Astyanax mexicanus: one gene and its partners. The protein of the gene in region 3 purifies or fractionates together with the protein of the main gene of each other region. This does not show direct contact. Links are inferred from orthologs where the notes say so. Each region holds a gene or a part of one and is shown on either strand. Other genes may lie near its edges.

Evidence for each region.
Region 1: the proteins of MRG/MORF4L-binding protein (region 3) and epc2 purify together in Homo sapiens (co-immunoprecipitation; 4 studies listed by BioGRID and IntAct, counting the BioPlex papers as one, with this or other methods). This does not show direct contact. The link is inferred for Astyanax mexicanus from reciprocal best matches to the Homo sapiens genes MRGBP and EPC2.
Region 2: the proteins of MRG/MORF4L-binding protein (region 3) and ing3 purify together in Homo sapiens (co-immunoprecipitation; 4 studies listed by BioGRID and IntAct, counting the BioPlex papers as one, with this or other methods). This does not show direct contact. The link is inferred for Astyanax mexicanus from reciprocal best matches to the Homo sapiens genes MRGBP and ING3.
Region 4: the proteins of MRG/MORF4L-binding protein (region 3) and vps72b purify together in Homo sapiens (co-immunoprecipitation; 5 studies listed by BioGRID and IntAct, counting the BioPlex papers as one, with this or other methods). This does not show direct contact. The link is inferred for Astyanax mexicanus from reciprocal best matches to the Homo sapiens genes MRGBP and VPS72.

What each region holds. Positions count from the first base shown.
Region 1 is NC_064418.1:14,791,125-14,797,997, reverse strand, and holds the start of epc2 (enhancer of polycomb homolog 2), read right to left. Parts: upstream 3,004-6,873; 5' UTR 2,731-3,003; coding exon 2,578-2,730; intron 1-2,577. UniProt on the Homo sapiens protein: May play a role in transcription or DNA repair.
Region 2 is NC_064409.1:8,057,566-8,064,494, reverse strand, and holds the start of ing3 (inhibitor of growth protein 3), read right to left. Parts: upstream 3,011-6,929; 5' UTR 2,919-3,010; coding exon 2,891-2,918; intron 2,749-2,890; coding exon 2,677-2,748; intron 1,285-2,676; coding exon 1,184-1,284; intron 904-1,183; coding exon 838-903; intron 632-837; coding exon 535-631; intron 375-534; coding exon 303-374; intron 1-302. UniProt on the Homo sapiens protein: Component of the NuA4 histone acetyltransferase (HAT) complex which is involved in transcriptional activation of select genes principally by acetylation of nucleosomal histones H4 and H2A.
Region 3 is NC_064420.1:29,040,613-29,048,198, reverse strand, and holds the start of MRG/MORF4L-binding protein, read right to left. Parts: upstream 3,016-7,586; 5' UTR 2,911-3,015; coding exon 2,775-2,910; intron 907-2,774; coding exon 785-906; intron 706-784; coding exon 624-705; intron 524-623; coding exon 444-523; intron 218-443; coding exon 181-217; intron 1-180. Other genes in the region: sac3d1 (SAC3 domain-containing protein 1), read right to left, coding at 5,769-6,232, 7,298-7,574.
Region 4 is NC_064413.1:39,939,730-39,946,886, forward strand, and holds the start of vps72b (vacuolar protein sorting-associated protein 72 homolog), read right to left. Parts: upstream 3,002-7,157; 5' UTR 1-3,001. UniProt on the Homo sapiens protein: Deposition-and-exchange histone chaperone specific for H2AZ1, specifically chaperones H2AZ1 and deposits it into nucleosomes.

The DNA of each region.
Region 1 (6,873 bases), on a different chromosome or scaffold from region 3:
ATAAATTTTGGCCATATCACCAAATATTAGCCAATAAGTAATATGAGCCAAATACAGTACATACCAAATATAAAAAATAATGCAATTTCTTTATTGTGTAGAATTTTTGGCAATATTATTGTGACGCACAATACGATATCGAACACCCTACTATCTAAGACTCTTTATTTTCCAGTATAGCAACAAACATGATAAGTAACAGACACAATTTTGTATTAATAAAGGTCACACCACAGACCTAAGTTTAGGCCTGTCACAACAATTACTTTATTGCCCTGTCATACAATAAATGAACATGACCTAATGACAGTAATGATACTGTCTATTGTGTTTATTTGCTCACATAAATAACAGTAAACAGTATTGTAGCCAGTCATGCAAATGACCAGTGCTTTAAAAACTCTACCCATACACACAGTGTGGTCTGCAGTAGGTGAAAAAAGTATATGTACCAAAGTATGATTAATTTCTAATTGTGTTGTCTTTATAAAAAGGGTACAGTTGCTTTATTATGTTATAATATTACCATAATGTCAGTGGCATTTAACGGTATAAAAAGGATAATATTGTTTCACAATAATTTCTGGAATGATATATCAAACTATTCTTATCATGACACACCAGTATACAGCTATTATTAGTAATCTCCACATAATATAAAACTTTTAGACGTTAATAAAGGTCACACCACAAAACCAAGCTTCATAAATCACTGAATAAATCATTTACAAACGTCTCATTAAGGTTTTAATATCCAAAGAACAATATAACCTATATAATAAACCATTCGAATAAATAATTACAGGAAAGAGCAGGATGTTAGATTTAACCTACAGATGTAGGTGAAAAACAGTGAATTCATGCTAAAATAAAGCTTGAATTTCCCAACGCGCCATAATCTCAATTGCTAGCTAGCTAGTTAACCTAACTGGCTAGATATATATTAGCCATCTATCTACTTTAGCTTAGCTAGCACCACCATCAGTTTAATAAGCTATAGAGCAGTGTTGTATTAAAATGATCCTACAACCTTTTTACACACACGCAAACAACCAAATAGCGTAGGTTTTCTCGTAAGCATTAGCTAATAAGGATCCGAGTCTTTCCTTTTTTAGCTAAGCTAGCTAAGCTACAATAGTTAGCAACCTAGCTAGCTAACAATCCAAGCTAACGCTAACCAAAATAGCTAAATACATGTTTGTATGCTTAAATAGGTGTAATATAATGAATGCTTAATGGTGACAGAGCACCACGCAGTTCAATCATCACCTAAAATACTGCAGATTTAACTTAGCTAGCTAAGCTAGGCTAACTGTTGTGTACACGTTAGCTTAATCTAGCCTAGCCAGGCTTTGAAGCGGTGCTTTGTCGATTTGCGATACCTTGTCAAAACGTGCTACCATGGTGTATAATGTAGTTACTACCTAAGTAGTTAAAGCTGCTTAAATAAAACAGCCAAGTATAATTCTGAGAATAATTCAAGCAAAAGTAGGGCTGTTTACTTTCACCCAAACATCTAAAGCGCTGCTCCTTGCCTCCCTGCTTATTTATACATCTAGGTAAAGCTCTATTTCATTTTAACTGCTAATAATAACACTAGGTTATATTAGCTGCTATTTCACATTTTTCTTCATTGTAAATTTTCTAAACGTTTAACAAGTGTCTAAACTTTTTTAAATAATGCTTATTATTGTTGTCCTTGTGGTAATATTATTACTTTAACGGATATTATTCAAATTTACTTGCACTTAAACATCAGGTAAGCCACTCTGGGAACACATTACTGTGTGCGCGCGCATAAAGCAATACGAAGTCTATTAAAATGCGCAACGTTCATAGCTTTACTAGCTAAACTATATATTTACGTTATACAGCCTAAACCATTGTAGCTTAGGTTATCAGGGTGGCTAGCTAGGTTAGGTTAGCTAACGTTATAGACAACTAAGGTAAAACAAAATACAAACATATCTTAAAAAACGAGTACAAGCAAACTGAAATTGTGAAACTTAGCCGAGTAAAACTATTGAGGAATTACTATGAAGTTCTGTAGCTAAAATTTGTTAAAAACTGGTATTGTGTGCGCATGCGCAAAATGTATAGGAAGCACAAATCGACAGGTAGCGCAACTCGACGCAACACAGGCTCCGCTTTTCAAAACGCGCAGATGGTAACGGACCGACACTCTACGACGTGACGCAGCTAGCTACGCAATTCACGACTCGGCTCACGCTAAAGCACTAGACAAAGGCATACAAAGGCGTAACACAGGCGTATGTACGTACGCAGGACTACGTACGCACGACTGCGTACGCAGTTTGCGCAGAGCTCGTTTGCGTAAACCACCAGCAACATCACACAAAAAAAAACACCACACACAACGCCGCCCTCGCCATCTTCTCTCTACACTACGCATACAGCGTAGTATATAGCTAACTGCCTAGATAGCTCATGTTAACCGTCGCTTACGCAGTTAGCGTAATGACCGTTTGTGAATACCACTAAGAGCCATGTATCGCCACACACCCGAATATACCCGTGTATGAAGTGGAATAAAGGCGATTTAAAGCGATAACCTACCGATTCCTCCTCCTTCTCCATGCCCGTCGGCATCTGCGGGACCGCGCGGTTGATGGACACGCAGTCGTTGAGGTCCGGGATGTCTCCATTGCGGTAAATTGGAAGCGGTTTGGCGGCGTCTAGCGCCCGCGCTCGGAACGAGAGTTTACTCATGACGGTGTGATTTCACGCAAACAACACGACGCCGAGGAAACGCGGGGGGGGAAACGGGCCGCGCCCGCCGGATTCTCGCTCCGCCGACTCCTTCTGCCGTCGCCGTGCCGATCATTGACTCCCTCGCGTTCGAAGGCCGGCGGCCGGGGCCATTCCTGCAGCGGGGTTTAGTGGCTGCGCGGCGCCGCGCTACTCCTACTCGGGCGCTCCGCTCTCGGAGCCACAGAGAACATGGCGGACATGAACGCAATCCCGGCAGGCAGCGCGAGACACGGAGAGCGAGCAGCAAGCAGCAGAGCGCGTGCACGCGGCGGGTGCGGGTGCGCGCGCAGCTTCTCGCGCTCACACACAGGCACGAGCACGAGGACGCGCGCTCACGAGAACGTTACGAAACGCAAGCGGCCTGCGCGAGACGCAGGATTATAGTTAGCTATAGGCCCCCAAAACACAACAAACACACTGCATTTCTGCTTTACAGCGGATTTAAGGGCCACAGGCGAACATTACACACATTTATTCAGTATTTACAACCCTAACAATTTACCAATAATCTCCCATAATTAACACACACAAATCATGACCTAACTTTAGGCTAATAAACAAAAAAAAAAAACATGTAAAGACCACTTCAAAATGATCAGTTTCTCATTTTTATAGGTATATATTTAAGTAAAATTTTAAATGAACATGTTTTATCCTGTGAACTACTAACATTTCTCCCAAATTAAAAAGTAAAGTCAAACAAGTTTAAAGAACATCTTTGTTGACTCCTCCTTTTCTATGTAATTAATTTGTCCCTTAATTGTAAATAAATAAAGAAAAATATTAAATGAGAAGATTATATATATATATATATATATATATATATATATATATATATATATATATATATATATATATATATATATATATATATTTTATGGCAAGCCAAACAGGAAATATATAATAAAAGCTGATATATATATAATGAAAGTCGATATATATATAATGAAAGTGATATGTATGTAATGAAAGCCGATATATATATATAGAAGGCCGATATATATATAATGAAAGCGATATATATATATAATAAAAGCCGATATATATATAATGAACTCTGATATATATATATATATATATATATATATATATATATATATATATATATATATATAATGAAAGCTGATATATAAATAATAAAAGCGATATATATATATATATATATATATATATATATATATATATATATATATATATATAATAAAAGCTGATATATATATATATATATATATATATATATATATATATATATATATATATATATATATATATATATATATATATATATATATAATGAAAGCTGTTAAAACCCTTTAAGAGGTAAACGGGTGGTCCGCACAGTCAGCCTGAGAGACTGAAGGTGGCGTTGTTGTTTCAGCCGGCCGCAGCTCCTCGCGCAGGGGAATCCGACCACCGGCAGGCATCGCGGCGCATTCTCTCCACAGAGGAGCGGCGCGACCGGCCTCGGACTGGCTTTAAAGTGTCAGGGGGCGAAGGTGGCAAAAAAGCTCCGGCCCGCGAGCTGCTTTCACCGAGCCGGGGACGGTCTACCAGTGTTCATTATATATATATATCAGCTTTCATTATATATATATATATATATATATATATATATATATATATATATATATATATATCACTTTCATTATATATATTACTTTCATTATATATATATATATATATATATATATATATATATATATATATATATATATATATATATATATATATATCAGAGTTTATTATATATATATATCAGCGTTCATTATATATATATTAGCTTTCATCATATATATATATCAGAGTTCATTATATATATATCAGTGTTATCCTTACTTCCTTTTCCTGATTATTTAATTTCCTGTTCCTGTTTTTCCCCCAAGCTAGCTGCTGTTGTTAAAAAACTTATGGAGTGTTATTTGTAACAATATCATATAAATAAATGAATAAAGAAATAATTGCTTAAAATGTTAAATAAATATTTAAAATGAGATTTAATTAATTAAAAAATAATTAATAATTAGTTTCCCAAATCCCTATATTTCCATATATATACATATATGGAAATATAGGGATTTGGGAAACTAATTATTAATTATTTTTTCCGTATACATATATAGGGAAATATAGGGATTTGGGAAACTAATTATTAATTATTTTTTCCGTATATATATATAGGGAAAATATAGGGATTTGAGAAACTAATTATTAATTATTTTTTAATTAGTTAAATCTCATTTTAAATATTTCCATATTAACTCCATAAGTTTTTTTAACAACAGCAGCTAGCTTGGGGGGAAAAATAGGAACAGGAAATTAAATCATCAGGAAAAGGAAGTAAGGATAACACTGATATATATATATATATATATATATATATATATATATATATATATATATATATATATATATATATATATATATAATGAACTCTGATATATATATATATATAATGAAAGCTGATATATATATATATTGAACTCTGATATATATATATATATATATATATATATATATATATATATATATATATATATATATATAATAAACTCTGATATATATATATATATATATATATATATATAATGAACGCTGATATATATAATAAACTCTGATATATATATATATAATAAACTCTGATATATATATATATATATAATGAACTCTGATATATATATATAGAAAGTGATATATATATAATGAAAGCGATATATATATATAATGAACTCTGATATATATATATAATAAAGGCTGATATATATATAATGAAAGCTGATATATATATATATATATATATATATATATATATATATATATAATGAAAGCTGATATATATATAATGAAAGCTGATATGTATATAATGAACACTGGTAGACCGTCCCCGGCTCGGTGAAAGCAGCTCGCGGGCCGGAGCTTTTTTGCCACCTTCGCCCCCTGACACTTTAAAGCCAGTCCGAGGCCGGTCGCGCCGCTCCTCTGTGGAGAGAATGCGCCGCGCTGCCTGCCGGTGGTCGGCCTCCCCTGCGCGAGGAGCTGCGGCCGGCTGAAACAACAACGCCACCTTCAGTCTCTCAGGCATATCAGCTTTTATTATATATATATCAGATATATATCAGAGTTCATTATATATATATATATATATATATATATATATATATATATATATATATATATATATATATATATATATATATATATATATATATATATATATATATCACTTTCATTATATATATATCACTTTCATTATATATATATCGCTTTCATTATATATATATCGCTTTCATTATATATATATCGCTTTCATTATATATATATCGGCTTTCATTATATATATATATCAGCTTTTATTATATATTTCCTGTTTGGCTTGCCATAGCTTGCCATAATATATATATATATATATATATATATATATATATATATATATATATATATATATATATATATATATATATATATATATATATATATACCTGCAGTCTGTAAGAGAGGGCAACATTTTATAGTAAATGGCCTTAATGTGCCCCTTGCTACCATTCCTAAAAAGGCACACACATAAATTGTAAAAACAGTGTATTTGACCTTTTTCTGGCCATAATAGCTTTTGCTGGTTACCTGAGCAAACATTGTTCTGCTATTGGTGCTGTTACAAAAGCTACTGCCAACATGGAGATACCATAACAGCAAAAATACTTTTATTCTGTATTTACAGCACTAACATTTCTCTCTCAATAACACACCAACAACATGTATAACTTTAAGCACTATTTTCACTATATTTTATTAAGTATAATGCAGAAAAATAAGATATGCCTGACAAAACACCTTTTAATACCCCTATGAAAATAACTAATCTACACATTTTTATATGTTTAAGGTATGCCTTATTTAAACATTAAAAGAATAATTCTACTGGCAAAACCCCACTCTGACATTAAAAATAAAACTAGCAAAGGTTTGGACAATATAGAAAATGTAAAAATAAAAAATAGATTTCCTTGTCATTACTTTATTTTAAAATCAACATTTTAGTGAATACAGATCAAACATTTCATGTCTATCAAACCTTTTATTTCTTTACAGTTGTCTAGTTTTTAT
Region 2 (6,929 bases), on a different chromosome or scaffold from region 3:
TCCATTGTTTAGGGCTAAATTACTGAATTAACTCTGATCTGACGTATTTGTTAACTTAGAATAAATTCTCTCAATCGATAAACTGAAACACAAAGATTTGTAGACCAAACTTCCATGACTTTTTCTAAACTTTCTGGGTGTTTTTATTTTTCTAAAACTTATCCAGGTCTGGAAATTGCTATTTTCAAATTTCTTGACTTTTCCAGGTTTTCACGACCGTACGAACTCTTTATTTAGCATGTTTAGACACGGCTAATAAACTGTGCAGTCATACAGTGAACACAGATAGAGGACTGTCTTACTTTCTGCTGTGGTGTGAGAGTGGACATGGTGGTTATTGACAGGTTGAGAAGGGCTGTCCATTTCCAACGACCCTACAGAAAAGAAGAAAGGTAAGTTAAGAAAGGCTGCTTAAACAACTAATAAATTAAACAAGCATTCTTATGCACATAGCACTGCATAATTAAGAGATCCACATTTCCCAGCTGATGTCCTCACATATGATAACTAGCTTGGCAGACAGACTACACTTACGTCTCTCCAGGATCTCAGTGATTCCTGCATTATCAGCCTCCAATTCCATTTTAAATTTGGCCAACTCCTGATCCAACTTCCTCAAGTGTCGATCCACCTGAGCGCACACAAAATCATACAATCCTTAACTGAACTATGAAGAATTGTTTATCATCAGACATCAGAATAACAAGCTTTCACAGCATATACAAAAACATCTTTCCAATTCATTCCACACATAAGAGTACATTCACAATGAGTGACTGCCTCTAGTGGACATAAAGTGGACATAAAGTGTACTGCGGTACAATCATCCATACTCACCAGATCATAGATTTGATTGGCTAGCTGAACTTTTTCATCTGCATCTTCCAAAGCCTTATAGTAATCCTGAATAAAAGAGACAGAGGAGAAGATATGCATTAATTACAGCTTCTGCAATCAAAATTAATACTTTATTACAGGCTAAGCAAAACAGCCAAAAATAATTTAATAATACAGTTCATTAAGTGTGGAAAAACAAAACTGTGAATAGTAAACATCACAATTAGATGTGTTTAGAGGGCTGATTAAGGGCTGATTCAGAATTTAACAACTTTAACCAATTAGTTATTTTTAGCAGATGCTCCAACCACGGATTCCACAGAGAATTGCATCTTTTGTTCTGTACCTTCTTAATAACCTCCATCTGCTCTTCCCTCCATTCTGGTTTGTTCTTTTTAGCGTTGGCAAAGAACTCATTAACTCTCTGTTCCAGCTGGTCCATCGCATCTGAAAAGCAGGAAGAGGGTCATTATTTGCAAGTGGATGACCAACTAAGAGATATGTGTACTAACAGTGGACAGCTATGTGTCAAGCCTGCAACTGGATAAAAATAAAAAATAAAAAATAAAACAGGAGTGTTCCAGTGGTTTTCCTAAAATTTGAGAACTTTTGTTTTTAGAGGGCAATATTTTTATGTGAGAATAACAAACACGTCATATCAGTGTTATACACATTTATTTGTTTGAGTGTCATTTGTTTCGCTATTTAATGTGATGCTTATTTTCTTCTGTGAAGATATTTATGTATAATAGTTTTTGTGTTGATATATTACATTATTTTTATGTTACATAAATTATTATTACTTCACACAGAATCTTAAGTTTTTTTTTTGTTTTTTTTTTAAGTTTTACAATTTTTCAGTTACTAGAGCTCTCATGGTTCTTTCTTCTCTGCTCCATGCACTCAGCATCTATAATTAACTACTTTATTATAAAACACATTCAAATTTTGGTCAAACTTTAGAACATAAAGTTACGACTAAATTGGGAAATAGAAAAGTGGTGGTAAAACATCATCTGAAATGTTTCCCTTGATCCCATTACCAGAAAAATGCTGATAAAGGATTTCATACATTTTTTTCAGTTTCTGACATTTATCACAAATAGTTTCAGGGAAATTGTAAAAAATATGTAGTTAATCTTCTCTTGATTTTTTAATTTTTCCATTTCTGCATCTTGTAACAAAAATCTGATGATATAATGGTCAGTGTAATGTTTATTTATTTAATTTTTATGACCGTTTTAGGTTAAATGCAAAAATCGAAAATTTGACGTAAAACTCATTATTTATTTTTTTAAATATAGTTTTTCATCGACTTTTCCAAATTTCATTTTTTTCCCCTAATTTTTTTCATTTTTGCATTTTACCATCCGATTTGTGTTACAAGATGCAAAAATTGACAAATTTAAAAATCGAAAGAATTTCATTTTTCATGAAATTCTGTCTGTGAATAGCTTAAATGAAAAACTAGATAATTAATTATTATATTTTGGACGAATTATAATAATTTGGATGAATCCCATTTCGTCTTCGCTATACTGAATGGAAATAATAATAATAATTAAGTTTTAAACCCAATTTTCTATTTTCAAATTTAGCTTGATAATTTTGTTAAGAGAATGAAAAAAAAAACAAAATTTCCTCCTGCAATTAATCATGTGAAGAGCAGAAATGAAAATCTACATAATTTGAGAAATTGAAGAAAACCCGTTTAAAAAGTGAAATAATAGAGTTGTAATGTGTTTCAGTGTTTTTATGGGTCAGTAAAGTGCAGTGGTTGCAGGGCTGAAGTCTCAGCGGTCAGACTCTGAGAGAGAACCGCTGAATGCAGTGCCTTACTCTGAACCTGCAGGTCCATCTCTCGCATTTCCGTAAACCTGTCGCGGAGATCCATGGGTAGCTGCTCGATCACTGCCGGAGAGAAGAAAAAGCGGAGTTAGGAGCTAGCCTAGCGGCTAACGACCGCGCGGCCGTTTCCCCGCGACACGGGCCTCCCCCAGCACACGAACACACCGCCACCACAGCGAGCGAACACAGAAACACCTATACTCACTCTCCAGGTAGTCCTCCAGGTACAGCATGGTGGCTAACGGGGTATTTTTCGAGGTTTTGCAGAAAACGGAGAACTCTTCAATATGGCGCCTCGCCTCGCTGAACGCCGAAGAAAAAAAAGGCGATTTCGGAGGGGCGGGGCCTGGCGGCGTAGACGTGCACAGGGATTGGTCGGTGACTTACTTACGCAGCACCCGCCTTCACTGAAAATGCTCATGGTATTTGTAGTTTTTATTAAAGGAACGCGCACAGCGTGTTAATGGACTGTATACAAAACAAGCATAACATTATGACCACCTTGTATGTCTTTATGTCCCGTGTAAAGCTTTATGTGGGCTATAATTTAGGATTAGTGGATGAACAACACAAACTGTGAAGTGAACGATTCTTGACTCTTTGGTTTTATTTATTGCTTTATTTATTTTGTGTTTTTTGTGTTACATTTTCTGTTTTAGCTTTTTGCCATTTTATTTATTTTATCCATTTCGTCCTTTTATTTATTGATTTCCTCCCTGCAGGCACATAACGGTATTAGACGTTATCCTGACGTAATATTTCTGACCTCTGAATCTGACCTCATGACCAACTTTTACCCTAAAATTAACGTCTATGGACGTTGGTGGCAAGCTGGGATTTAACTTTTGGCCTTGTAGCTTTTTATTTCATTTATTTTATCGTTTTATTTAATATTATTTTTTTTAAATATTTTATTATTTAAATGATTTATCTCTTTATTTTATTGCTTTACATTTTAGCCTGTCCACTTATCCTTTTAATCTGAATTATTTTATTTCTTCTTAACTAAATATTTTATTATTTGCTGTTTTTTGAATGTTTTTACCTTTTAATTTTGATTGTTTTGTTTATGAAGGTCCTTGTTTAAGCTCTTCGGATTTACCTGATTTTAATTGTAATTTAAATGTATTTTTTTCAGTCACTTTAGGTCGTAAATGCTCAGCTGCATTGAAAATGAGGGTTACCCTCAATGTATTACAGAGTAAAAAAAGGTTCAGTATAGAACATGATACAGATTTTTCATATTTAGTTTTCAGTATTCACTGTTGCAGTATGGAGCATAATACGTATTTCTTCTATTCAGAATAATAATACATTTTATACTGTCAAACCGCTGTCGTGGATCAATATGAGGGAATAACACAAAGGCTAAACAGACTCTCCTTAGAAATCTCAAGGCCGAGTAAAGAAAGAGTTCAGGTATGGAAAGGAGGGGTTAGTTTCCACGATCAGCCTGAAGAGGGCAGCAGTGAATGACTTTTCATTTACAGGCACATTGGTTTACAGTTGGTAATTCAATATATACAACTTGCCTCAAATTGCTTTCATTTGTAACTTAAATAAATGTATTTGTAGCACCAGACCAGAATAAATTATGATATAAAGCAGAGTGTTAACCTTTTTTACTGTGCGACCCCTTTTTAGGTTCAAAATATGTTGTGACCCCCACATCCCAAATTCACCCCCAATCATCAACCTTAGGAAAGGTACACTGCCTGGCCAAAAAAAGGTCCCCAGCTGGATTTAACTAAGCAAATGATCTAAGGTTGCTGCCGTTTGTCAGGTTTAGGTTCAGCAACAGTATGTGCTGAAAGAATGAGATCAGCTGACTACCTGAATATACTGAATATAGACCAGGTTATTCCATCAATGGATATTTTCTTAGCTGATGGCACGTGAATATTCCAAGACGAAAATGCCAGGATTCATGGAGCTGGAATTGTGAAAGAGTGGTTCAGGGAGCATGAGATTATCATTTTTACACATATTTTTTATCGTTGATGAAAATTATAAAATCTTAAAGACCATTTGGTACTTTTAGCAGTGTGGGCACTGTGCCATGTCCTACTGGAAAATGAAATCAGCATCTTAATAAAAGTTGTCAGCAGAGGGAAGCACAGTGGACCAACACCAGCAGATGACTAAGACGAAGACTAATTAGTCTTATTCAATATTCAAATTTTCTGAGACACAGATTTTTGTTTTTTCATTGGCTGCAAGCCATGACAATAAACCATCAACAATAACAGAAAAAAATGCTTAAAATAGATTGCTCTGTGTGTAATACATCTGTATAATATATGAGTTTCACATTTTAAAACTGAATTACTAAAATAAAGTACCTTTTCAAAGATATTCATATTTCTGTGAGATAGTATATATATATATATATATATATATATATATATATATATATATATATATATATATATATATATATATATATATATATATAATATATATAAATCAGTACATACTTAGAGATGTCATAAGCAGACCTCTGAGGAAATCTGAAATGCTAGAAAAATGTTAGATATTTAAGCCACAAGCGCACCAGCACTACCCCTGTCTCTCACTGGACCGTCGTGACTTTGGGCTGTGTGAAATACTCCCTGATGGCTCATGAGAAAGAACATGGATTCTCTGATGAGGTTCTGTGTGTATTTATAGCTGGACTGTTTGTGCAGCAGAATCACCAGCAACTAAAGCCCAATCTGCAGTGTAGTGGTGTACCAAGATTTAAGGTATAATAATGGATATAGGAAGATGGTAAGATAATAATTACACAACAAATATAGAATTTAATCTAATAAAATAAAGACTTTACTTTATTATATTATTCTATAAACCACGGACAACATTTCTCCCAACTTTCCCCCCAAAAATGGTCATTTAGAGCATTTATTTGCAGAAAATGAGAAATGGCTGAAATATCAAAAAAGAGCTTTCAGACCTCATATAATGCAAAGAAAACAATCTTTCATATTCATAAAGTTTTAAGAGTTAAGAAATCAATATTTGGTGGAATGATCCTGGTTTTTAATCACAGTTTTATCATGTTCTCCACCACCAGTCTTACATGATGCTTTTGAATAACTTAATGCCACTCCTGGAGCAAGAATTTAAGCAGTTCAGCTTGGTTGGATGGTTGTGATCATCCATCTCTTGATCCTCTTGATTATATTCCAGAGGTTTTTAATTTGGTAAAATCAAAGAAATTCATAATTTTGAAGTGGCCTTTTTTTCCAGAGCTTTATATATACAAAAACTCCATATCTGCTATGTGGTGATCCTCTGGGGTCCTGAGCATTGAATAACAGGGTGAAAGGAGGATAATAAAGTATGCAGAGAAATAGAATGATTAAATACTGTAATTGTAGAACTACAGTGTGTTTCTTTATGCTCAGTAAAGCTGAGAAAAAATAGCATACATTGTTTCTACACCCATAGCAGGATAATGGGTGTAGAAACAAGATTATTTATATGGAAATGCCACATTTAGATTAGTAAAGAAGGCCAGCAGTGACTGTTTCACTCCCTCACCCCAGGGGCACATTCAGCTCATCCCTGCAGACAGTAATACACATATTTGACCTCCTGACCCTCTGCATTCCTCTATTACACTTCCTCCTCTGTTTCTCACTCACTTACTCACTGTCACTTACCCACTCACATTATCTCTCGCTCACTCACTCATTCTTTTGCTTTTTTACTCACTATATTTTCACACTCTCATTTCTTTACTCTATTTTTCTGCTCTTTCAATTTTCACGCTATCTTGCTTACTCCTCTCTTTCTCAAGCACTCTTTTTTCACTTCTCTCACTACCGACTCATCCTCTCACCAAGTATAATGTTCTCTCACCCTCCTGTCTCCTGTTAGTAGATGCTGTCTCTCTTACTTTCTATTTTTTTATTTCTTGCTCAACTCTCACAGTTGTTCTGTCTCTCTCTCATTCTGTTTCTCAATGCTCACTCATCCACTCTAACTGTCTCACTCATTTTACCAGCTGTTCTCTCTCTTTTTCTCTTGCTCTCTCACTCTCTGAGTCTGTATTCCTTGTTCGTTAACTCAACTATTCTCTCACTCAGTCTTCCAGTTGTTCTCTCTCTTTCTCATTCTAACTTTATCTCACTTTTTCTCATTTACTCCTTTAACTCATGTTTCTAGTTGTTCTCTCTCTCCCTCTCTATTTCTTGCTCACCTAATCACTCTTTCTTTCACTCACTTTTGTTGTTTTTCTC
Region 3 (7,586 bases):
GTACAACTACTACACTTAAGGAAAAGAGAGAAAAGGAGGAAGATAAAGAGGGACAGAGAAAGACGCACATGCTCAGAGGTCTCTGGAGGCAGCCTACAGAGGCCTCTGGTACTGAGATGGTCTGTATTGAGCTCAAGCTGGAGTTTTGGAACAGAGCGAAACGTTTTCTTCTGTCCATACCTTGCAAACTCCTGGCCAGCCATACTGGGACCCAGACCTTTGAAAATGAGACACAAATCACCAGGGTGAGCTGCACCGAGCTACGGCCAAATGGGAGAACGATCCAGAAAAGAAAAAAATAATAAATAAATAGAAAAGAAAAGAAAAAATGCAATGACGCAGATTTAAAACGATGTCTTGCGTCAGAAAGGTGAGAAAGTGTAAGAAAGAGAAGGCTAAGAAGAGAGGTAGAGGAGAGCAACAAAGAAGTAAAAGGAAAAAACAGGACCTTCTTCGTGGGTGGCAGAAAGGTCTCTCTCTTCTTTGAACTCGTCCTTCACATCATCCTCTGAACCTACTTTTCCTGTAGCAAGTAAGGAAAAATATACATTCAGATATGACAATTATGGCTAATGCTTAACAAATTACAATGTCAGTTAAAAATACATGTAAATGCAACTCACCTTCTTTGACATCCTGTATTATTTCCTCCGGCAGGACAAAGGTCTTTTCCGAGTTGGGAAAGGGTAGTATTTCAGACTCGTGCTGTCGGAACGAGGAGGAATTAGCTATGCTTTTTTTTTTACCACAGTTTATGATACATTAAGAGTCAAATATGCCTCACCAGTGCCTGCATGTCGTACATCGTCGACAGGTGGTCCCAGATGACTTTTGATGATACTTGCCTCCCAATGTTTTGGCTAAATTTATCACGGATGCAAATCATATGGAAGTGACGGTTAACCCCTGAAATAAAAAAAAATTATTAAACCCCAGTGCAAAAAAAACAAGTTAACACATTGGTTAACAGCAACCTGGTTAAAATAACTATAACAGACTTACAGTGGCATAGAATACCTTTCCAGACACTATTTACATTGTAAGGTATAATTAAAACACAACAAAAGATACATGGATAAATAAATATAATAATTCTTTAAATATTTAAATATATATAACAAGCTCTTGTGGCAGTACTTTTGTTCATCACTGGTTTCTAGCACAATTTTGACTAAGTTCAAGACTTTAGCATATGAAAGATGTAGAATACAGAACATTCTGCCACTTATTCATTGCGAGCAGTCCTTAGGACCAAAGAGTCCCAATATCCTCCTCTCTCTTTTTCTCATCATTTTATGTTTCCAGACCTAGGCTTAATCAATAATGTGAACTATATATGCAAGTAAATCGTTTGACCTGGAGGGGCTTACTGACCAAAAACAAAAATATGGGAAGAAAAGAAAAATAAATGTTTGAAGAGAAACTTTAATAATTAATGGGAGATTTAAAATGAGAGATTTATAAAATTATTAAATAAAACCAAAGGTTGCTTTGATAAGTTGATCTAACTTTACATTTTTACATTATTTGTAAAAAAAAAATAAGTAAACAGTAGCAATGGTTGGTGTATTGGACCTTAGTTTATCTGTTATTATTGTAGAGTTGCTTGTGTGGGGTGATCACTGTCGGAGGATGTCAATGACGGGTGTCCAGATTGAATTCTATTTAGTGATTTTATTTTTGGCATATACATATAAAGATTTGTAGAAAACTTTTTTCTACTGATTGAAAGCCAGGAGTATTTTTTTATATTCCATTTCATGAGGATAGTCTTCTTGGCTATTTTTAGAGCTATGAGTATAGCATCCAACTGACAGTTAAAGGCTACCAGCCGTCTTGTCTGTTTTGGCCAAAATGCATTATATAATATAAATGCAAATTTATAACAGACATGAATTTTTATTTAAAACGGAATTGTAACACCATTCTCCACCAAGCTGCACCAATAAAGAATCCAATCAGAGTCATCTGAGCATTTACTGTTTTATCTGTATGTTTCTCTGAGTTGATATGTACATTTTACACTTTTTGATTTGGAGAAAAACATGTTTAGTTAAATATTTGGTTGTAAACTTTAGTATTAGAGAACTGGTGCTGCTGCATCTGTTGTTAATGACATTGATATGTTCTTTTGTGCACCAAGCAGAATTTTAGCTAAAGTTTTAAATAGCGAAGTGGATTAAAATACGTTATTAAACACGTTTCTAAATAATTGATTTTTTTATGAATCTTGTGACAGAACTGTCTGGGCTGTGGGTATCAGCACGCTGGACAGATGCTGGTCTGGGTCTGTGGTTAAACAAAGCAGATGGTGATTAAACCAACACTGCATTAAAAACATAGTTTTGCAATTAACATTAACTTACTGATTATTTATAACTTTGCTGGCTTCTGTAAAACTATTTACAGTACAGTACAGCAGAGCACACTAGAGATTGTGTTAGTCTTAGTCAGTTAGCTAGGTTAGTTAGCTGGCGAGGCTAACAAGCTAACAGTAATTCAACTAAAAATACAGAACTCATGATGCTTTCCGACTAAACTAAATTAGTGAGCTTAAGTTAAGGTTATTAATTATCAATGTCTAACTTAGCAAGCGCAGTAATTTCACTCAACAATGCCTCTCTGTCTTTATAAAGCCAAACCGAGCACACCAAGTCCACAGACAAGCCGGCCGGTTGTCGGCTCCCGGCTCCCGGACCAAGCTGAACTCTACGCTGGGGATTCGAGGCCTACTGAAAGGAGCCACTTAAGGAAACACAAAAACTGCAGCTCACCGACGGGTTTATGTCCCAGCATGGCGTGAAACAGACACACTTCCACCTCCTGACTCCATACCACCGACTCTTCAGCGGCACACACTCCCGAATCCCCCTGCTTTTCGTCGGCGGGTACAGCCTCAGCTTCGCCCATCGTTTTTCTGAATGTATTTTACTGTAGTGAAGCCGCTGCAGTGCGAGTCCTCAGAATCCGCCTCCAGGAGGTCCCAAACAAACCCCGACAGTGGATCTGACAAATACACCAAACCGACGGTATATCGACGGTATATCGTTAGCAGCAGCCTCATTATACAGTTTATTATTTAGCATTTCTTTCTATTGGTGTCATTAAATCAGTCGTACTAGTTGTACACTCTAGTGGTGTCCATGCTTCCATCTGTTGACAACTTTTATGGAAATGTGGATTTCATTTTCCAGCAGGACTTGGCACACTGCCAAAAGTACCAGTTGGTCTTATATAATAATTTTCTAAAACAGACTTTTTTTTTGTTTTCATTGGCTGTAAGCCATAATCATCATCAATAAAATACAGAAACGCTTAACCCTTTCAGACCTGAATTATCTTCAGTTATGTTTTCTGTCTGTAATGCACAGAAAAGAAGACTCTAATAATCTACTATAAAATGTAGTCATATAGCAAATAAATCCAATTAACTAAAATATTTATTAGCTTATTTTTATTTCCATTGCATTGGAAGCCTGTTTAATATTTTATATTTCTTCTTGACTTTTTTTTCATAAAACACCATAAAAAACATGATTATAAAGTGTTCTAAATCACATTAAATGAGTAAAAAATAGCCAAACCAAAATACTCTGTGAAGCATTGAGGTGGCTCCTATCTGGGGTGCTGTTAACTTGTGGTTTCTGAAGCTGATATCTCTGATGAACCTTTGCAACAGCATGTTTTTTGGTCTTTCTTTTTTGGTGCAGTCCTGATGAGAGCCAGTTTCAGCATTAAACATTTTGATGATCTTTGCGACTGCATTTAAGGACACTTTCAAGGTTCTTGATTTTTTTTTATCTTGATTGACTGACCTCCATTTCTTGTAGTGTTTTATTTTTCTTTACTTAGTTCTTGACATAATATGCATCAGAACATTACTCAAATAGGGCTATTCACTGTATTATACTCTTCCTCTTTACAACACAACTGATACTCTTAAACACATTAAGATGGAAGGAAATAAAAGGACCCCTGTTAATTCCCTGTTACATGTTTAAAAGCAAAGGGCTAGGAGATGTTTTTCATATATACTAGTCGAGTCATTGTGCATCTGAAAATCAGTGAAAATGAGATCACCCTCAACTGAAAAATAACATTTATTTGATTATACCACAGTTTGGTTATTTGTTGATATCTAAAAAGTCTTACCACTTTTTTAAATACCACTTTATTCTGATTTTTGGCTCCAAATGCGCAAATGATCTTAAGTATGCTTTTGGTACACGATCAATATGTTTAGTTTTTCTACTTTTCCTTTACTAGGCATTGAAAGTTTGCACCTTATCCAGAAAGCATGAAGTTTTGCCAGGACTATGGATTGCATTCCCCTTCAACATTATATTATGCATTATTTCCTTTAAATTATGCCCAGTTGCATAAAACACAAAAGTGAAAATTCCCTTAAAACGGCCCTTAACGATAAGTGTTACCTGAGGTCTTAACGGAAATCATCATCACCAGGGGCCTCATGTACTAAGACTTGCGTGGACTTCCTACTAAAATGTTCCGTACGCTCAGATCTGAAAAGTTCCGTACGCACAAAAAAATCCGGATTTATCAAACCGTGCGTAGGCAGAATCCCACGTACTTTCTCTTAGTACATCACAATCAACTTGAAATCAAGCGCAAATGCACGAAAGCAGCACACTTGCCACGACTCCTCCCTCAATTACGCAGAGTATAATGTTATATTATTATTATTATTATTATTATTATTAATAATAATATTATTATTATTATTATTATTATTATTAATAATAATAATAATAATAATAATAATATTATATACGCATAGCGTATAATTACCCATGTTTTAAGTTTTATTATTCTAAGATAAATGCTTTCATTTAAATGCTTTAAATGAGTTGCCTACCAAAAAGACACACGTCACGCACTCAGCTTGTTTTCTTATGCTCTTGGAAATCTAAAACTGCTTATAAGCCAGTCATCATCATGGGCCAAAAAAACATAATGGTCACGGAAAATGCGCGCTCAATGTATTCGGCCGTTAGCAGTATTTTCCAGTAATGCCAACGCTGCATCTCCAACAACTCCAGCGCAAACCTGATCTAGGCTAAGTGGAAACACGTTAAACGATTATTTCTGTAAGACAATGAAACTGTCTGATTAATTTACTTTATTTTACCCAATAATGCTTACTTCAATGTGTGCATAAAGGATATCTTAATAGTTGTAATTTCAATGCATCGCCTCTAAGTGTCGCCAAATGACAAAAACACAATACATACGCACAAAAAAAAGGCGTACGCCCAAAACAAAACTTCCGTGGGGGAACGCACTTTCACACGTTCAAGTCAAATTTAGTACATCAGACCGTGAGCGTGAAATATGGCGTACGCAATGTTTTTGTGCGTACGCACCTTTAGTACATGAGGCCCCAGGTCCTTCCAAAATACTTTGCTATGCTGTACTGACACATGCAGACTTGAGTAGCAAGTGAGATTTTTTTTGCAGGGTAGTGTTAACTACCATGTAGTTCACAGACCATTCAATTAAAAACATTTTATTAGTATATACAATTTTACATGCAACTGATAAGGTCACTGAAATGCTCATAAAAAAAAGCTAAAGGCTTTAAGTGCCACCTGAAATGTGTTTCATAATTCAACATTGTGGGTTTTCAATTGTACAGACCCAGAAAAAAAACAGTGTTTTAAAAGCATGACAGGACACTTCCTGTATTAAAACAAAACTCCAATTTCTTAATAATAATTTTAGCAAACACCTTTAAACATGTCACGTTTTCAAGCAATGCCATGAATGATGCTGCCAACTGAAAGGCCTCGCTGCTTGTCTTCCACTAGTTTGTGCATATGAGCACACTGCAGACCTTCAGATGGGCTCTCTGTGAAGGAACCCTTAGAGAAGACAACCCAGTCCCCGTTGATTTGTATTCCATGAGCCTGGCAAAGTTGAACAGCCAGGGATTGCTCCAGGGAGAGAATGTCTGCTAGCTTCTGGATAGGGAAGCGACAGTTTTTGCTGCTGTGTCCGTGGTTGTAGAGTAGCAGCAGATCCCTCCTGCAGGACAGAAGATGCCGGTGGAGGGCGCAGGCCTGCAAGAAGTCTAGTTTCTGGGCTAGGCGGAGGAGACGGACAGGGTTGCGCTCCATGTATGCCCTACTGACCGCTAGAGCCAACTGAACTGGTGGAGAAGTTCGCACTTTGTGAGGTAGTGCAAGAGCATGCTGTGTAGCTTGTGGTGAACCTGGAAACCAAATAAACACAAAAGGACAATTTAGAAAATATCTAGCAGCAACATGAATCCACATTCTCGATTAAAAGAGCAGCAACTATAGAGCTGTAAATACAATTTAATTAAGTAACAACCTGGATTGAGATCTGTAGTTTCTGACTTCATTTGAAACTATAATGTACACCAGGATAAAAGTATTTATTTACAATTTTGCAGCTGTATAATATTTTGTATCAGCAGCAAGCTTATCCACAACTTCATCTGGTCAGTGACAGTCCTGAAGATTCCTTCAATGGATATTAAAGAGGAATTGTCAATCTGTTAAGTGTATTAATATGCTATTAGTATCTAATAAAATGCTCAGTGTTCATAAAAAAGCAAATTGATACAGAATTTTGCATCCCAATAAAAACAAATGAGGAAGACCATGATCCTCAAAATAGAGCAGAACATTTTTTTATGCACAGATTTTACAGAAATGAACACTAGAGGTCACTGGGGGTTCTGTATTCTGTATTCCGAATTTTGTGTGTTTAATGTTTTTGCCTGATTCTTTGTCCGTTAATCATGTTTCTGTAAAGCTGCTTTGTGCCAACACCAGTTGTAAAAAGCGCTATACAAATAAATTTGATTTGATTTGATTAATGATAAATCAGGCAAGGGTTTTACGTTCCGGTCTTTATCTGTTCTGTACATTATCTTTTTTAGGAATCTGCTCAATTGTAAACAATGTTGAACTCCAAACACCAGCTGTGACAGCCTGTTAATTGCAGCCGATGTTTGTAGTAGTGTTTGCTAGCTCTGCTGTGTTCAGATACTTACTTTACTTGGCTGAATGGTGGAAAAAGGGGAATCCAGTTAGTAAGAAACAAACTCAAAAACGGCTCAAACAACACAAAACTGTATTGTTCATAAATAGTAGGCCTAACTAACTCATTAGAAGCATTAATTTGTTTGTTTTACCCGGTGTAAATACAAACAAAAAAATAATAAATTATGCCCTGTTCTCCCCTACAAGGATGCTATGCTGTCATAAAAAGTCTGCTGTCATAACAAGAGCAAAATGCTTCTACTCACCAAGGTTGTAGAGCAAGCTGAGGGCCTGAAACTCGTCCTGGTGCTTGTGCTGTCCCTCAGCGTAGCACTCCAGCAGCCAGCTCAGACTCTCCTGCAGGTGTGTGTCGTTGATGTGCGGGTCGTAAAGCCGAAGTGGTTGCCCACACAGATGGTAAGAAGCATACAGAAGGAAGCGCACTGTTCGCTCCAACACACTTGCACAATCCGGACCAGAAATGCGCTGGATGACCATGTCCTGACGAACACTGCGCAAGCGGTCAAACACAAAGCTGTAGACCTGTAGGATAGT
Region 4 (7,157 bases), on a different chromosome or scaffold from region 3:
CATTCACACATTCACATTCAAGGAAAAAAAAAAGTATTCCATTTCCCTAAACTCACGAAAGAACACACTATCCTAAACAAAGTTTACACATCCTGTACGGCGCACAATGGCCGCCGGTATGAGTCCTGACTATTTTATTAGCTTTTTGTTATATTAGGCCTTTCTCAAATAGAGCTATGAGCCATGCGGTGCTCATCCAGGTTTGGTTACATTTGCAGTGTGCAGATGCAGAGCGAAAAACACCTAGAGGGTGCTGGGTTTGAAAGGGCAGAGCGGTGTGGCGTGCAGTTTCTGCGTATGTCATACCCAGAAAGATTGTTATCGGTCATACATGTTTGTTTATTTGTTTGCCTTTTTAAAGCTCATTTGCATGTGCAGCGATCAGTCATAGCATTAGCACCACCTGTTTAATGCTGAATAAGTCGCCCTTGTGCCAGCTTAACAGATCTGACCATTACAATGGCCTCTAAAAAAGTTCTGTTATCTTGGCAGCAGATCCTTTAAGTCAGCATGCCTGTATGTTATGAGGTGGGGTCTCAGTGAGCTATAGGTGTGCATGACCCTATCATCAGATTATTGCATGTCCTCTCTCAGACCACTTTTGATGGGTAAACTGACCACTGCATACCATTGATATTTTTGTAAGATTTGACCCAGTGGTTTAACTCTTTTTTCATTTTCTCGTTTTCTTAACCCTGGTCAATGAGGCTCACTGTATTGCAAATTTTAATGTTTTTTCTGCTTTAACATACACACACTCTAACTTAATAATGGGCTGTTCAGTGATTATTTGGATCTGGAAGCACTAAAAAACCAAAAAGTGCAGGGGAGTGAGTCACCATAAATAGTGTCAAGAAATACTGGTCTAGCCAACACAACGTGTCCCATGTCACAGTTGCTCAGATCTTTATGCTTACCCATTTTTCCTGTTTTAACGCATTTCCTTCATTGATTTGGTTGATGTATTCCACAGCTCAGTTCACATGACAAACATTATGCAGCTCAATGAGCAGTTAAATGAATGAACTCAGCTGAATAACAGCTGGAAATGTTCTCTGCTGTTTGTCAGAAAGGTGTAAACAAGGCCATCAACTCATATCAGTTCAACTCAATCAGTTCTTGGCTGTACCTCAAGGAAATTTAGGGCACTTTTAAATCTGCAGTAACCAAATGCTGCAGGAAGGGAGTGTAGAGGACTAGAATGAGACACCCCACACTAAAGCCTTGCAGACTTCACATGCACACAATAATGAAGAGCACAGAACTGCAAATGTTTCAACTGCTAAAGTTTCCCCAAACATGAATCTGTGCCTATTGCTTAATGTTCCTAGAACATTTTAAAGGTATATTAAGAGCAGGAAACCATAGGACTATATTCACTGACTCACTGTGAAACCTCTGGATAAGACATTGCTGCTGCTTTGTTGTTATGAGTATATTATTAACACTGCTTTGAAATGATCTGAAATCACAGTGAATGAATCAGGCTTATTGAAGTTTACTCTTTAACATTTGTTGTAGTGTGGAGTTTGATCTATCTTCCCACGCAGCAGCTTGTATAACTAAGGTGTGTCAGACTCGTGCACACAAGAATGAAGAAGAAGTCTCGACTCGTTTTCATTTATGTAAAGATATGCAGGGAGTGCTGTAGGTATGTGCCAGCAACGAACCAATTAAAATGCTCCAAAGACCAAAAGATCAGACTGAAACGAGTCTATAAGGAACTCCAGCTGTACATTCTATTTTTCTAGAACAATGTACTTAAATTATCTTGAATTAAACTTTTAGAAGCTCTGCCATTGTAGGGTTAAAATGTTCTATTTATCTTGTCCTTTGTGGAGAAAAGGCAGTTTCGGTTTTCCTGGTAGAAAGCCTGAGATTGTCTGTTCCCACAAAAACAGAGAGCTTTGTCCTCAAAGGGACGTATTTGGTTACTTATCACTTTGAAGTCTCCTCCCCACATTCCTCCCCACGCTCTCCCTCCCTCTCTCTGTCTCTTTTTCTTGCTCTTTCTCTGCAGAACATCTGCTAGAACCACGGAAACAAAGCCTTCCTCACATCAAAAAATTTACTGGAATCAAGGACAGAAATAAAACAGAAAAAAACTGTTGTTTTAAACATTAGAAAAGTTTACTCTGAGGCAGAGTTTTATGAATGAAGGCCTTTGTTTTGGTTTCATCCAGGGTGGTCTGTCTGAACCCTGGGCCTTGAGTGTCTCAACAGGCCCCCAGTTACATAGCTGTGAGATGGAGTGGGCGATGATCTCACTGGTCGGGTATGTGTTGTTGCTGCTGTTGCTGATGGTGAAGTACAGGGAGGCCTATTACACCCCCACCCGCATCTCCCCTCTCCCCTCTAATAACAGGACTGGAATCCAGACCACATGCTCTGAAGTGAGTGAGGAGGAAATAGAAAGAGCATGACTTGTACTGTTTCATCCCATCATGCATCAGATCAAAAGGTGGGCCTGTGACATATGTGGTATATATGGTTGTGTAACATTCAGCACTCATCTTCAATGTCACATTCACACCCGTAATAGGACATTAGGCACAGTTTTTTATTTAGCTAGAGTTGACCACACTATCAGGATATGATGATGTGGGAGGAGACTGTGGGAGGAGACTGTAAGAGGGACAGAGCAGGAGGCAGGAAGGCCAGACCCCTTCTGATAAGTGGAGCTAGGACTGAGAAAAATGACTAAGCTGAAGGGATGAGAGAGGCTGGTGGTTGGGATAACCTTTTTTTAGTTGATTTTTTTTCACGTCACTTCTTTTTTTATATTAAAATGTGTGGCATTAATAACAAAATATAGGTATGCACCAAATATTAGGCAACCGAAAATATCCAACTAAAAATGGCAAAAACAAGCACTTTTTATTTAAGTCAATTTATTATTATAAATAAAACTGCTTGGTTAATATTTTGCACATTGTTGGTTTGTCTTCTGAGACATTTACTTGTAATGATAATATAATAATAATAATAATAATAATAATAATAATAATAATAATAATAATAATAATAATAAAGAAAAAGAAGGACAATTAACAGTGTTAAATTGGCATGAAATAAATATAATAAAAATAAAATGTATACAAATAACACATAATTTTACTACTGGTGCACCATCTGGGAGACTGGGGTTCAATTCCCGGTCTGGGTGACTATTCTGTGCTACACCAAGAGGAGTCCTTGGACAATACCTCTAACACTGGGTTGTAGAAGGACTAACCTTGTAAGTCGCTCTATAATACAAATAAAAAAGTAATTTCTGATAAAACTCAGTCAAGTGATATAGTAATGAAACAATTATAATAAGGAATGCAAAGATTAACTATTATTAATGTATAAAAGTGAACTCTTCAATTTTCATCACTCACATTTATAATACATAAATGATGCAGAATATGCCACCTCTGAATGATCTACTTTGTCATTTACAATTACCCGTATTTCCTGCTTCCTTCCTTCCTGCCCAAAAACAGCATTAATCAAAACAAAGGAGACAGGTGTTTATTATTTATCATCTTTAATCTCCTGGACTGCTGAAATGAAGGGATGGGACACTGACGTCAGCCTGTGGTTTGACGTACCATAAAGTCTACTGGTGAAGGAGTGGAACATTCCTACTGATGCACAGTCATAGTGGCAGTGTGTTTTGTTGCTGCCAAAACACTGCTGTGAATGACTGCGTCATGAGTTTACATAAACATAATTGTGAAGAATTACTTTTGGTCCATTAGTCAAAAAATGTTTACATATAAAATATAATGACTGCTGCCTTTTTCAAGTGTATAAAATTGTAATAATAATTGACATGACAGTACTGATATGCAGTGCGTCATTCTGTCTCATTTAGGAAGGTTCTGCAACATGAAGATGATGAGATACAGGGTTTTTTCAAAAGATTTCTTCATAGTCTGTCTCAAGTTAGAGAACAGAATTGCTTCATGCTTCCCTCTGTGACACAAGTTGTACAGCATACATGGCATACCTAATGTATGTTATTTAAACACAAATTCACAACATCTCCACATTTAAAAGTATTTAGGATACTATGGTTTGCAAAGAAAGTTCAAAAACTGTTTTTTTTTTTGTTTAACACATTCTTTTCTTTTATCTTTTTAGGGCAGATTATCTGGTCGGTGAAGTCAAAAGGATGGCATCTCACGTAAGGGCTTCATGCCAAGGCACGCTGAGATTTAGGGCTAACATACTTTTCTTCTGTACATTGTGTCCCTGCCTAAATAACTCTGACTCATGAATGGCTGGCTGCAACCAGCTATTGTCTATCCAGCTGTAAAATGCTACATAGATTAGTCAAACAATCACTGGCCTTCCATGAACATCATCATTAGACAATGTAAAAATTGTAAAAAGACTGGACCAAATCCTGATCATACAGGATTACTTTCCCAGGCAGGGATTAAGCTTAGTCTTGTAATACACAGCATATTCTGTTTAGATCTAGACTAGGGGAAAGAGCCCCACAATGTTTAAACAAAGCAGAGCTTATCCTGAAGTCAGTGAAGTTTGATGCAAATATTTTCAAAGAATTCTATAAGAACAATATAAGCACAGCTAATGCTTTATGGACTGGTTTGAATATCAAAATTTGCTTTCTGTGAACAGATTAACATGTAGGCAAACATGAGGATTTTCTGATAGCCAAAGTTAAATAGATGTTACTAGAAAACTGTATGCTTACCAGTTTAGATCAGCCTATCCCTTACTTTATCTTTACAGTCAATGTCTGGACGTTTTAGCTGCCAGACATTTTTGCCATTTTTAAAGGTTTTTTTTAGAATGTAAGCTATTGTGTTGCAGTGTATTGTATTGAATGCAACTTGTCTAGCAGGAAATGTTTAGCTACACCCTTAAAACAAACAATACCAGGTTGTAGGCTCGATACCTGGATTTGTCTCACTGTTGAGCAAGGCTCTTAAGTGGCCACTGCTCCCTGGGCACCTCCCCATCGCTCCAGGCATATGTTCTCACAAAACATGTATGTGTCTTTGAAGTGTATTCACTAGTGAGTATGTATCTGTTCATTGCACACACTAGTTGCAGTAAATAATACATAAACATTTTATACTTTTACCTGACATCCAGTCTAAAAACAATATGTATAGTGTTTATGACTTGATATTTCATCATATAGTAGGCTACAAATGTTTTTACAGGAGCTGTTTACTTATTATTGTAACTGTTGTGCTATTTATTACATGGTCTTGCATGAATAGACATGCTATATTGTCTGACAAAAACGTTTGGTTTTTGCTCAGTAGATAAGGGTTCAGTACAATTGATTTTTCATCAGCAACTCTTTACCACAAACACCAATACTAGCTCTACCAATACAAACTCTTTTTATTGGCTGTGGAAACACAGTTCAGCTTGAGGAACATACACCTCTGTCAGAAGTCTGCCAAAACCTATTTGAGGACTAATAGTGCCTAAGTTAGAGTTGTTATGCATAGGTTCTCTAGGTTTAAAGGTAAAATTAATCTTTGAGTTTTCATTTTAGGATCTATCAGGGAGTTCAAGTCAAGTCAATAGTCTTTTGTTGCCGTTTCATCCGAGTCCAAGTACACAGTGCAATGAAATTACGTTCCTCTGGAACCATGGTGCAACATGGAACAAACAGTACAATATAGACAACAAAGTGCAAACTTGCAGCAAATTGTGTAACATAGAACTAGAGTTCTCAGCATGCTCAGTTGCATTCTTTCTGTTCCTTGGGTCGTTTAGGTTTTTTGTGATTATTTGTATTTATTTTTATTTTATTTGTGGTGGTTGCAATGGTGGAGCATTTTTCACCCTGCTGGTGTTAGTGTTAGGGGTGAATAAGGGTCTCTATCAGTGGGCTGCCATTTTTAAAAGAAATATTTCAATAAAGTTGCTGGGACTATGGAGCTATGGTTTAGCCTTGTTACTTTGACCCTTCCCACACTGATGCTACAATACATTGTGCAGGTCAAGAGCTGGTAAACCAGCTAGCATACCAGTATAGCAAATCTTACTCAGCCGTATAAACAGCCAAATATAAGCAAAGTTAACTCGTGTGAAACACTGTGTGTGTGTGTGTGTGTTTGAAAGGCAAACACTGAGCTTTGCTGCTGTAATCTGATGGAAATGTAAATCATTTTAGATATAAAGTTCATGGAAATCATTAAAGTAGTTAATGTGATAAACCCTGCTTGCAGATAACCTCTAACATTCCTCCTTCCCCTACACCCGACTGGCGCCACAGATTTGAATGAATAGGTATAGGAATTAATCTAACCCTTGGTTATTATGGAATGTATAATGATGTTTTTATATATAAAAAATAATTGTAGTAAAAAGTAGTCATTCTTCATCAGGACACTGCTTACAGGACGCTGCTGGCTGGATATTCCTAGTTAGCGGATTATTCTCAGTCCAGCAGTGACACTGAGGGGTTTAAAAGCTCCAGCAGCACTGCTGTGTCTGATCCACTCATACCATCACAATCCACACTACCAACACATCTCCACCTTGCTAGTATCACTGCAGTGCTGGGAATGACCCGCCACCCATATAATAATAGCTGGTCTGTGGTGGTTTATCCTCTGGGGTCTTGACCATTGAAGAACAGGAGTAAAACAGGATAATAGAGAAACGGAAGAACTACTGTTTGTGATTTATAGGACTACACAGTCCTCGTATGTGGTAAATCAAGCTAATGAAATAGACAAAGCATGTAGAAACATGGAGGTGGTGTTAATAAAGTTACTGTTAAGTTTGAATTGAAAACTTTATTTAATGATAATTCTCTATGTTTTATTTAAGGACATCTAGAAGTGTGTACATATACGCTTTTAATTATAAAATGAAACCACACTTCCTAGCAGACGTATACTACTGCCATTCTCTCCGGTTAAAAATAGTTGCAATGTGGTTCAGTGACACAATAATTCAGCATTAACATGTCACACAACGTGCAGTTTACTGTATACACTACATCATGAGGATGACTCTGTAAACAGTGGAGCTGTGAACACTATGGAAAAATACAGATAGCAAAGCAGTTAAACTGCCAAGCAGGTGCACACACACTCACACACTCTGATATACACACCTGCAGTTCTGCTTATTATATTGAGAGCATAGACAAACACAAGGCAAATACA